2 linked regions of the Arabidopsis thaliana genome follow. The protein of the gene in region 2 interacts with the protein of the main gene of each other region in a pairwise test. Each region holds a gene or a part of one and is shown on either strand. Other genes may lie near its edges.

Region 1 (5,069 bases), on a different chromosome or scaffold from region 2:
TAGATGCGCCATATGGGTAGGTAACCGCAAGGCAATTGTTTGGTTACATGGCGGTTATGATGGTAGCCATCAAGTGACATACGACCACAAAACCTTGAAAATGACTTTGTAAGCAAATGCAGAGTAGAAACGTTAATAGAAAACCAAACTTGCCTTGATCCTCTATTGCCCAACTCCTCCAATACATAAGATGTGATAGCAACTTATGTAGGACACACCAAACCAAATAAATTACACAATCTGTGAGTGTCTGTTTTCAAGATTTCCCCGACAATTCCATTAAGCAAAATAAATAATAATAACTCGAAATTGACACAACCACACGAATTTGAAAAAAGCTGAAATCCATATCTCATGGGACTCAAACATCCAATGTTGATTCAATAATTGTAGTCCTAAAAATAAATCAATAACTAATACATTTTCATAAATTTTAGTACTAATACATAAGTTAGCATTTTGGTTTTTAACATAGCTGAAAACAGAACGTCACATTATTTGGAGAAACATTAAGTACTAAATATTTAGCATGAAATAAATTTCATATAATTCATATGGATCACAAGGTTTTTTTTTGGCAAACATAGATTATAAGTCACACTAGTCTAAATTCTTGAAGGGCTTGTATGACTTGACACTATTAATTAAGCCAATGATGGATCCTACGGCGGCAAGGGCCGAGACGATCAAGCAAACCAATACGAGGAGGTTCAAGGCCAACCATCTACGAGAATACTTCTTGACTTTAGCCTGCGCAATGTGCATTGCCACCGGAAAATAAACTGTGAGTGGCCAGAACGCGAATGCCCCTAGCAAACCCAAGATCGCATTGAAGAAGGGGAATATCATTGCTACAAATGTTGTCAAAACAACATAGCATGTCCTCCAAACCAGTCTGAAGAGGTTGACACGACATTTTCCAAGCAAAGGAACCTTTGACGAGTATTCTTTGTTGATGAAATTGCTTTGAGGCCATTTTTTGTTGCAGTTTTCCTCAACAAACTGGAAAAACGGCTGCGCATACACCTGCGAATAATACAGGGATAAAAAAAAAAAAAGAGCATTTTTTAGAAACAATATTTAGTAATAACTCCATTTCTACAATCTTCTGAATTGTTAAAGCTAAAAATTCTAACACAATAATGAGACTTTTAATGAACTTGAACACGGTAAATGTATGTTACACACTTATCCTATTCTTTTGTTTGTGAGTTATACCTGATAGGCACCTATTAGATGGAGAGCAATGCAAGCATTGGCAAAGTCGATGAGCCAATAAGGTTCGTAAAAACCAAAATCGGTAAGGAAGTCACCAGGGGCTTGGTTGCCGAACGCAGCATATCCGATGCAACCACACAAGATGTAGAAAACAGTTGTGGTTGAGACTCCGACAAGACTTGCTCGTTTCATCACTTTGTTCTCTGGTGGGCTTGATCTCAATGTGTCCTGCAAAATAAACAAGACATACTACTAGAGCGTCACTATCTTTAGAGCTTCACATATCTAAAATATGAAACTATTTTTATCCATCATCCATCCATCTATATTTTTTCCTAACTGTCTAATTAATAATAACATCTTATCTTCAAGGTATTCTTATTTTACCTCTCTTTGGCGAAATTAATAATAACAAGCAAATGAAAACAATAGTAAACGGAAGATAGTAGGAATCAGTAGTACATGCCTGAATCTCGATGAGAATAGTGGTAAAAGCGTATGAAAAGGCAATGTCTCCAATCGCTTGAAACAATTTCCAAACTTTTTCAGACGCAGTTACGTCCACACCTATCACTGTCCCTGTCAATTCTGTCTTACCAATCTTCCCACCTTTCATATATATTGTATACCATTTTCACGGTTAGTGTCAACTTTGAAGAATCATCCATATAAACCACTATGTTTTAAGATAAAGAAGGGGAATGTACTTGCTACAGTAGCGATGGCTAGGCCTATTCCGATAGACGCATAAGAGAAGGACATAACCGCGGCGATGATGGATAGGAAAGAGAGCTTGTGGAAGTTAGGAAGCTGGCTCAGAATGATCTGGACGATCCCAAATGCCGCCATGTATGGATAATTCGATACAGAACATTTCGCTTTATGTCCCTTGTCATGATAACAATTTGATTTCCCAATCGCTCTAACGAAGACGTACAAAAACACCAATCAAACAATTATTAGTAATTTTATTCAGAACAACATGTTAGTATAACCATAACAAAATAATCGAAATAAATCAGAATCTTTGACTTACACTAAGCTTATGGAGGCAGTGATGGTGTAACCAATAGTGACCCCTACGAGATTCACGTACTGTGCCACTCCACATAGCTGAACCTTTTTACCACCTGCGTTTTATGTTATTAAAGAAGAAAAATGATTACTCTTGTACTACTATCAAATACTACCAATCTTTTGGTCTTATGGCAAAGTTTCTAAACATCCCGCATAATTCCAAATTTTCAACGAGGGGTCAACAATCGAATTTATAACATTCTTTAACGGGATAAATTGAATTGACTATGTTACCAATCCTAATCAATTTAATTTATTAACTAAGTTATGAAAGAATGAAGATTATCTTCCTTTTTTTTATATAGATTTTGATAATTAATTCATATCTTCCCATGAAAGAGCATGCACACTTGGCAAAATCGTAAATCATTTTTTTCTAACAACCATATTTTTTTCTTTCATTGTTCAACAACAATAATGTTCTTCAACAAATTTACATGGTAAAAAATTGTTGAAATGAGCCAATTATACTGTAGATTTACAAATTCCAACTTAGCATTAAATATATATTTTTAGATCAGATTTTTTTTCTTTCGCCAGCCATCATCATTGTGACAGAAATGGAAGAAAATCAAAACACATGTCCTAAATTGAGACTAGTTAGGCAAAATCTAAATGATATCAAATGAACAAAATCCTTGTTCATCTGAGAAAAAATGTCTAGAAAACTGAAAAATCTGTGAAAAACAATGCTGATAAAGACACAAAATGAATTTGTTTATATGAATCCATACCAAGGTAAGATCGGACGACGCCCATGTAATTATAGTTGCGTGTTCCGGTGATGGAGTCCGGCGAACGGTAACAGTCGGCGAGCAAGGTGGACGTGTAGTAAGTAATGATGGCGAAAGCGACCAAAACTGTGGTTCCTGCCACCCAACCAAGCTGTGCTATAGCCCAAGCCAACGACAGCACCCCTGAGCCTATGACCGCCGTGATTATGTGCGCACTCGCCGTCCAAAATGTTCCCGTTCTCTTCTCTCGACCATCGTCGTCGACGCTTTTCACGGCGGCGTCACCCGACTCCACCGCCGAGGGATTGTTGTATGCGTCCATCATTGTGAGAGAACCACTGAACCAGAGGAGAGAAGAGAGGGGAAGAGAGTTATTGACAGAGGTCGTCTTATTAGAGTACTCCCTCACAATCACGTACTTACATGTATTATATACACAAATATCGATGTTTATATGGAAAGAGCATCTTTGTACGTTGAATCTTATTTATTAAGAGAATCTTCTATTACGAGGATTTATTTCTTTTGACTTTGATTTTGAATGTGTAACCACTATTGCTTATTCCGGAAACAAAAATTGGTCCGCATGTTGAAAAGAGGATTTACCTACATTAACGACACTACGAATAATCGAAATTAGGTAACTGATTAAAATTAGATGAGTAAAACAGAGAGATATTTCCTTCAGATCTTGGCCTCTTGCATAGCTATATCCTCTCTTCTATCTTGCTCATTTATCTTCTCAAATCCTCACATGCACATGATTCATTAATCGGGAAATTAAATCATTAACATTGAGTTATAATGATGTATTGATGTGAATCTATATATATATATTGTTGTATCAACTAAATATTATGATATATCTACAACATTTTGTTATTAGTATCGCATCAAATACAAAATTATGTGGATTTACATGTTTGTATTATATTTTACTACTATTTTAACGGTTTACAAAAACATGTAAACCAAACCATAAATTTCACTAATTTCAATTATGTACGATTTTGAGTCTTCATTACTTCTTATCGTTTCTTTCACTCTTATAGTCTTATCTCACAATCCGTAATTTGTGCACAATTAATGAATTCAATGTTGTATTTTGTCGTATTAAATATGGATTTTGACCAACATAAACCTGATTTTTTAGTGGATTATTTTAAAATATATCCACAAAATATTCCTTCGAATAAAATCCCATTCTAACTATATCCATAAAATGCCCATCCCAATTGTCGAGACAGAATCAGATATCTAAAATGACACATAATAAATGTCGCATATTACACCATTAAAGTACGGTACGTTGACCTCCTACCTGACTATGAACAGCTCATCAGACAGCTCCCTGTGCCCTCAAGTAGGGGTGTGGATAAATTGGTCTGGTTACCGGTAAAATCTGGAGAGTATACCTCAAGATCAGGTTACGGGGTAACATCCTTGACAGTGCTACCAACAGCTCAGGTCCGCTTTAACTGGCAAGCAAACCTTTGGAAACTCCACACTATGCCGAAGATCAAACTTTTCCTATGGAAGGCGGCTGCAGGAGCTCTCCCTGTGGGTGCACAACTCGTAAGAAGGCATATATCATCAACTTGGGATTGTGCACGCTGTGGGGCTCCGGAGACTTCCACCCACATGCTGTTTCACTGTGATTTTGCGGCACAAGTTTGGAACCTAGCGCCCCTCCAATTGGGTCACATCCCTATCGGTACCCCTATTTTGGAAGCTCTTAACTTACTTAAGAAAACCATCGTTCTCCCCCCGGTTGGGATTCATACAGCAACCCTCTTCCCCTGGATCTGTTGGCACATCTGGAAAGCCAGAAATCAGCTTATCTTCCAAAATTCTCATTTCTCTGTGATAGAGACTGTTACAAAGGCGGTTCAGGATGCCTTAGCGTGGCAATCCGCCCAATTGGCGCTCCCAAAAGTTCGTGTAGCGACCCCCCGCCCAAACTCCACAACAACTCTGACTCATGATTTTCTCTGCTACGTGGATGCGGCTTGGCAACAACAGAGCTCCCTCGCTGGCTCT
Region 2 (5,875 bases):
TCAGATTCAGAATTTTCGATAGCTCCGAAGCTCAGAAATCAGCAGAAGACGGAAGAAATAGAGGTTCCTCACCTACTTAATTGTGTTCAATATAAACAAAATACGAAACTACCCTCGATATTTTGCTTAGGGTTTGGATGAGCAGGGGTAGTTTTGGTCAAGTTGGGCTTTGACTTTAAACAAATCAAATTGGGCTTTGTGCAAATCAAATTAAAATTTGGTTTCCATTTTTGACGAGATTTTATTTTGGTCCACGTTTGGTACTTTGAAAAATACAAATATGACGTGTGCTGAATTGACAAAAAAAAAAACAGACACATAAAGTGTGATCTAACAACGTTTAGCAGATTTCAAAGAAAGAAATAAATCTTAAAATAGAAGAATCTTGCCTTTTGTCAGTAAAAACATATACCAATTTAACCGTATTTTTATCACTATTTTGGCAAATATCTTCTGGAATTTAATTCCATTTGACCTTATTCTAAAATATTGAGTTTCTTTTTGGGGAGAAGTTACTTGGGACATGGATTTTTAAATAGAATTGAGAGACTAGTTTATTACTTTATTGTGTATACAAACTTACAAAGTACAATTCCTATATAAACTGTTTTTTTTGTTTCCACAATTCTTTAGCTAATTTTTTTGTCGCTACACAAAAAAGTAAAAACTCGTAAAAAGCTATCTTTAACTCGAATATTTACTCGGCATGAAGCCCATACATATAGGAGGTCTAACGCCGGCCAAAGCAAGAACCGACGACGGCAAAATCCATAGACCATCTCCACATATCAAACCGGAAGCAACCGCCGGTACCATTAAACCGGCTTTAACTCGATCTCTCATATTCCAAGCAAACACAATCAAACTTCCCACACACATATCAATAGCAAAGTACCCTCCAACAAGAAACGGAACCGCCATTGCCATCGGTAATGGAACCCAATTCCCTATCTTATCCGGTAACCTATCCCTAACGAGATTTGCCGCCACCGCGAATGCGAAAAACCCGTAACAAAGCTGTAAACAATGTTGAGGCAAAGCAGAGAAACCTTCAACTCCAAGAATTGCCATGTTTCTGTATACCAAAGCGTAAGGAGCTTTGTACTCTCCCTCCTGGTTCCCGACATCGAAAGCTTTATAAAACAAGAAGAAAGTTAGAGGCGCCACAACGCATCCGATCGCTGTACCGATCGCTTGACTCACAAGCATCGACCTAGGTGAAGTCAGAGTCAAATGTCCTGTCTTGAAATCGTGCATTAGGTCAGAAGAAATCGATACAATCGATTTTATCAACCCGCATCCGACAAGTCCCGCGACTACACCATTTTGTTTCCCTGCCATAGCGGCTAAGATAAACAGAGCGACTTTACCATAGTTATAAGCCATGTTCATATCTGTTAGCCCTGCTCCATAAGCGTTACTGAAACCTAACGATGGAGCTAACATGTAAGCTACGACTATGAAGTACCATTTCAGCTCGGGGAACATTATAGGGATCGCGATGATCGAGACAACAGAGAACGCTGCGTATCCTACTGCTGCAACCCATAATGGAATGCTGTCTCTTACAAAGATCTCATCTCTTTTAAGATCTGCAATAGATTGCTTATCTTTCTCCGAATCTGCGATTTACGTTTGAACATCAGATAATACATTATTGAAATGACGATTTTTCTATAGTTTTTTTGGTGTATACTTACTAGATTTCCCAGAGTTGCGATTGTTTAACTTGACGTACATGTTTATTCCTGTCTTAAAAAGTATCTTGATGAATTGGTAAAGCCCGTCTCCGAGGATCAATGAGATTGATATAAACACCTAAAGAGTTATGAACAAATTAAGAACGAAAGTACGCGAAAGAAAGGGCGGAGTTTATTGTAGAGTACTAGTGTTTTTTGTATGGAACCTTGTAACCATTGAGACTCTTCATGCTGTTTTCAGGAAGAGTTGATGGGAACCAATCTCCTTTAAGACCTTTAATGAGTGGCCACATGATTCCCCAAGACAGAACCGCGCCAAAAAGCAAAGATATATTGACAATATGGGGACAGATCATTCCTGCTCCAACGTATGTCATGCTAAAGTCGAAGTAGAATCTGTCAAGTTTTTTCAAGATCATCAAGATTCTGTTTCTATCTGTTGATATATAAACAGTCAATAGAACTAAGAATAATACTCACGTGTTCTTCAAAGCTTCTAACCCGAAAGTTGGAAACTGAATGAAACCGCACTCTGTACCACCAGAGAAGAACCATTGGAAGAAAGCCCAAATGAAGCTAAATGAGAAGTACTTCACAAACCCAAACACTTGTTTCCTGCATATAAACAGATTTTATTTAAATCAAAAACTCTAGAATTAGTGGTGAAAGAGAGCTAAGAGACTGCCAAAAAATCGAGTTAATACTTGGCCATTTTATTGCCTTTAGGAGTGTGGAAACCGTTGATCAAAACCGCGGTAGCTGTTCCACTTGGATATGTCAGCTTGTAGTCTATGATCATGATCTGGTTAACCAAAAAAAGAAGCATAATGAACACTTAGCAATGTAGACCCAAACCAGCCAACAGGGGATTAATAGTCCAAACTTGGCCAATATTAATCTCCGTCCTATGTTGGCTATAGCGGGTTTGGCCAGGCCCATATCACACTTATATGGGCCGGACTGACCCGCAAACTTTGGCCTACCGCAACATCTCTAACTACAAATTCAATGAGACAGAATCTTAAATAATCTCTACCTTTCTTAGAGGAACCAATGCTAAAAGACCAACAAAGCAAGTAAAGAACAAGAAAGCGGTCATCCAACCGATTCCAGGCTCTTTCGTGCCTTCCGGATAATTCCCATCAGTGTGAGTTCCTCCTGACTGTTCATAAGTAATTCTGTTCAAACCAAGAAGGTATGAACCAAACCCACCTGCAAATCACACAAACACATAGCTCAAAACAATGATCCAACCCCAAACAAAAACTGATCAAACAGTCAAAACAACTGGTCAAAATTCACTGAACCTCCAACTGCAATGCTGTAACAAGCAACAGCACATGTTTGGACAACAGTGTTCTCTTGTTTAGTGAACGGTTTAGTCACAATCCCGGCTTTGGTCAACAGCTTGGTCCAGCTTCTAAGGAAGACAAAGGCTAAAAGTGCTGCAGAGACATTTAGGTTTGGGACCAAACCTGTTGTTAGGTTTAGTTTCATCACGATCACACTGTAGATTATACCAATGATTAAACTTGCAACAATTCCTCTGAAAGTGATTTGTTCCTTCCATGGAGGTATTGACTTGAAATCATCTCCTTCGTTTTGCGTCTCTTCCAAGTCATCTATTACTTCTCTTTCTATCTCATTCCTTCCCTCTCTCTCCATCATCATACTCCTCATTTTTTTCCAAGAACAGAACAAAAAAACAGAGTTTCTTCTTCTTGATTATCTTTTTTGACAATACTGAAAAAACAAAAATTTGTCAAAACAAAAACCCAAAAGACAGATTCTTTTAATAATTAAATATCAATCAAAAGCTTACTTTTATGGAAAATGACGAGAGGAAAAAAATGGTACCTCTTTTTGGATCAATTGATTCTGGGAATTTTATATAAAGTTTAGAATTTTTCTTGCTTTCCACTCCCAAGCATAATTATCTGAAGAAGAAGAAGAAGAAGAAAAAGAAACAGTTGCTTAGCAAATGAGAAAAAGGAAAACTAGAGATTATTTTAATCAAGTGCATAATCTTTATAACCATAGAATAATGACGCAAGTTATCTCTTATGTTCAGAGATCTAATTAAAAGAATTAGAAAAAAGTTAATGACTCAAGAATCTGCCATTAATCTCTTTTGCTTCAAACACTTTTTTTTCTTTCTGAAATCTGTAGTAAACGTAAGAAAAGAAGAGAATGAAACGTAACTGGTTAATGAAACAGGGACACACACACGAAGACCACACTCCCGTTTCCCAAAGAGATAAAAGAAAAAAAACATTGAATGCTTACACGAAACGAAGACCAAAGAATAGCTAAAAATGGTATAGTTGATTTTTTAAAAATGGACTTTGGTGAGACTACTCAAAGTTATATAGAGAAGTAGAGATGAAGAAGAAAGCTTAAAACCAAGAAGAATTTATTTATGGGATCTTGGGTTCTTATGTACCGCACGTTGACTTGATATCAGTACTACACAAAGAAAAAAGAAAAGAGAAAAGAGTTTTGGGGTTTATGTAGTACAATAATCATTAAGGGGTTAAACTTTATAAAAGTTACGTCACCGAAAAGAAAAAAAGTAGGGTAACAATTAATTATTAAGAATATACTCCACATATATAACCTTCATATATCTCACTAAGAAAGTTATATAATTTATGGATGTATAACTAAATGTCACATACGAAAAATCAAACTTTATAAGTTTGTCAAACACATGACTATTCAACCATTAGATTAGTATGTAGAGGAACAAATGTCATTATCTCTCATAAATATATAACAATTAGGAGTTTAGGTGATGAAATAAGATTAGGAGTCAAATAGTTAGTAAAATTACACTTGAAATGATTTATTCGTAACTTTAGATTTGTGTTTTGGTTAGACTTAGATATAAATTATGAATGTATTTCTATTTCTAAATATTTTTTCCATTAAAATCAGTTCATCCATAATTAAGTTTTTTTTTGTTCTAATTATAAGAGATGGTTAACTTATAACTAGTTACAGATTACAATATCAAAAGTCTTTTAAAAGTCATAAATATGATATCATAACTAATTAACCTTTTATAGTATTAAAATACATGTTTAACTCAATGAATCTGGTGACATTCATGTGAAACTGAAAAAGTGAAAAGTTTGGTAAACCGAGATTCCGGTTCATGTGACTGTCTTTTACTAAACAAGATGATGACATTATGGACAATCTTATGCCATAACTATCCTCTTTATTTTATTGACCACATGATTAATATTAAAGCCAAAATATGGAAACATAACTCTCCATAATGTGAATAATAATTAAAATTTTCTTAGGTAGTCAATCAAGAAAATGGTAAATGTCAACTCCATACCATGTGGTCACAAACATACCAAAACCCCAAAAGAAAATTAAAGTCGAATAAATTATTCAATAAGTTCGACTTTTGATTCTTTACGTCAACACGTCAAATTCATAAGTAGAATTGGACTATTATATTCGGACGTTTCCTGGCCGAATTTGGTGCGTTATATTACACCAATCCTGCGTGATAGGATAAGATCAGATCAAACCAATTAAACCATTTTTTGCCAAGAACATACGAATGAATTTGCATTTTTGAAAACCAAGACTTGTTTAAGACTGAATTTTATAAGATCGTTCCCAACCTATTTCAATCGGCCAGAAATATGTTCAATTTAATGCATTGGTTGATAAAGTTGAATAAACTACTGTAACAGCCGTTGGTTCAAAATAATTTTGTTCACATTATAGTATTTAATGTAGTGTTGACTAGAGTTGGGGTAGTAACTGGTAAGTACCACTAGCTAGCTAGTTATGAAGTGAACGTGTTACAATTCTCTCGTATATTAGATTTTTATTTTCTTACATCGTCCTTCCTTAAACTAAATGATATGTAGTAGTATCATTTAGATCTCTATATGAAGGAAATGGAACTAAAACTGTTAACACGGAAATTGTGTGAATACAAACCACTAGACAATAACTTTCGAATGTCTCGTAGTCGTAGGCATATATATACATGATCGAATATTAATGTGTCCTCGTATGCTAAGTAGATATTACGAGGCCCTATGGAGAAGAAAAAGAGAATAATACTACTCTCTTTTGTACGAACTTTACTTTTCTTTTCCTATATTTTTTTTAAAAATATGTAATTCACTTCTTCCATGCATTCC

What was found. The genes of interacting proteins can lie anywhere in the genome.
Region 1: the proteins of YSL3 (region 2) and AAP8 interact in a protein complementation assay, tested with the Arabidopsis thaliana proteins (one large-scale study listed by BioGRID).

The regions. Positions count from the first base shown.
Region 1 is NC_003070.9:3,264,258-3,269,326, reverse strand, and holds AAP8 (amino acid permease 8), read right to left. Parts: upstream 3,442-5,069; 5' UTR 3,355-3,441; coding exon 3,030-3,354; intron 2,349-3,029; coding exon 2,255-2,348; intron 2,141-2,254; coding exon 1,926-2,140; intron 1,828-1,925; coding exon 1,685-1,827; intron 1,447-1,684; coding exon 1,219-1,446; intron 1,027-1,218; coding exon 601-1,026; 3' UTR 504-600; downstream 1-503. Other genes in the region: AT1G10000 (Ribonuclease H-like superfamily protein), read left to right, coding at 4,539-5,069. UniProt on the Arabidopsis thaliana protein: Amino acid-proton symporter. Stereospecific transporter with a broad specificity for glutamate, aspartate and neutral and acidic amino acids.
Region 2 is NC_003076.8:21,753,586-21,759,460, reverse strand, and holds YSL3 (YELLOW STRIPE like 3), read right to left. Parts: upstream 4,211-5,875; 5' UTR 3,736-4,210; exon of another isoform or gene 3,638-3,735; 5' UTR 3,558-3,637; intron 3,469-3,557; exon of another isoform or gene 3,444-3,468; 5' UTR 3,381-3,443; coding exon 3,008-3,380; exon of another isoform or gene 2,913-3,007; coding exon 2,737-2,912; intron 2,503-2,736; coding exon 2,405-2,502; intron 2,316-2,404; coding exon 2,181-2,315; intron 2,097-2,180; coding exon 1,907-2,096; intron 1,819-1,906; coding exon 1,701-1,818; intron 1,623-1,700; coding exon 685-1,622; 3' UTR 528-684; downstream 1-527. UniProt on the Arabidopsis thaliana protein: May be involved in the lateral transport of nicotianamine-chelated metals in the vasculature.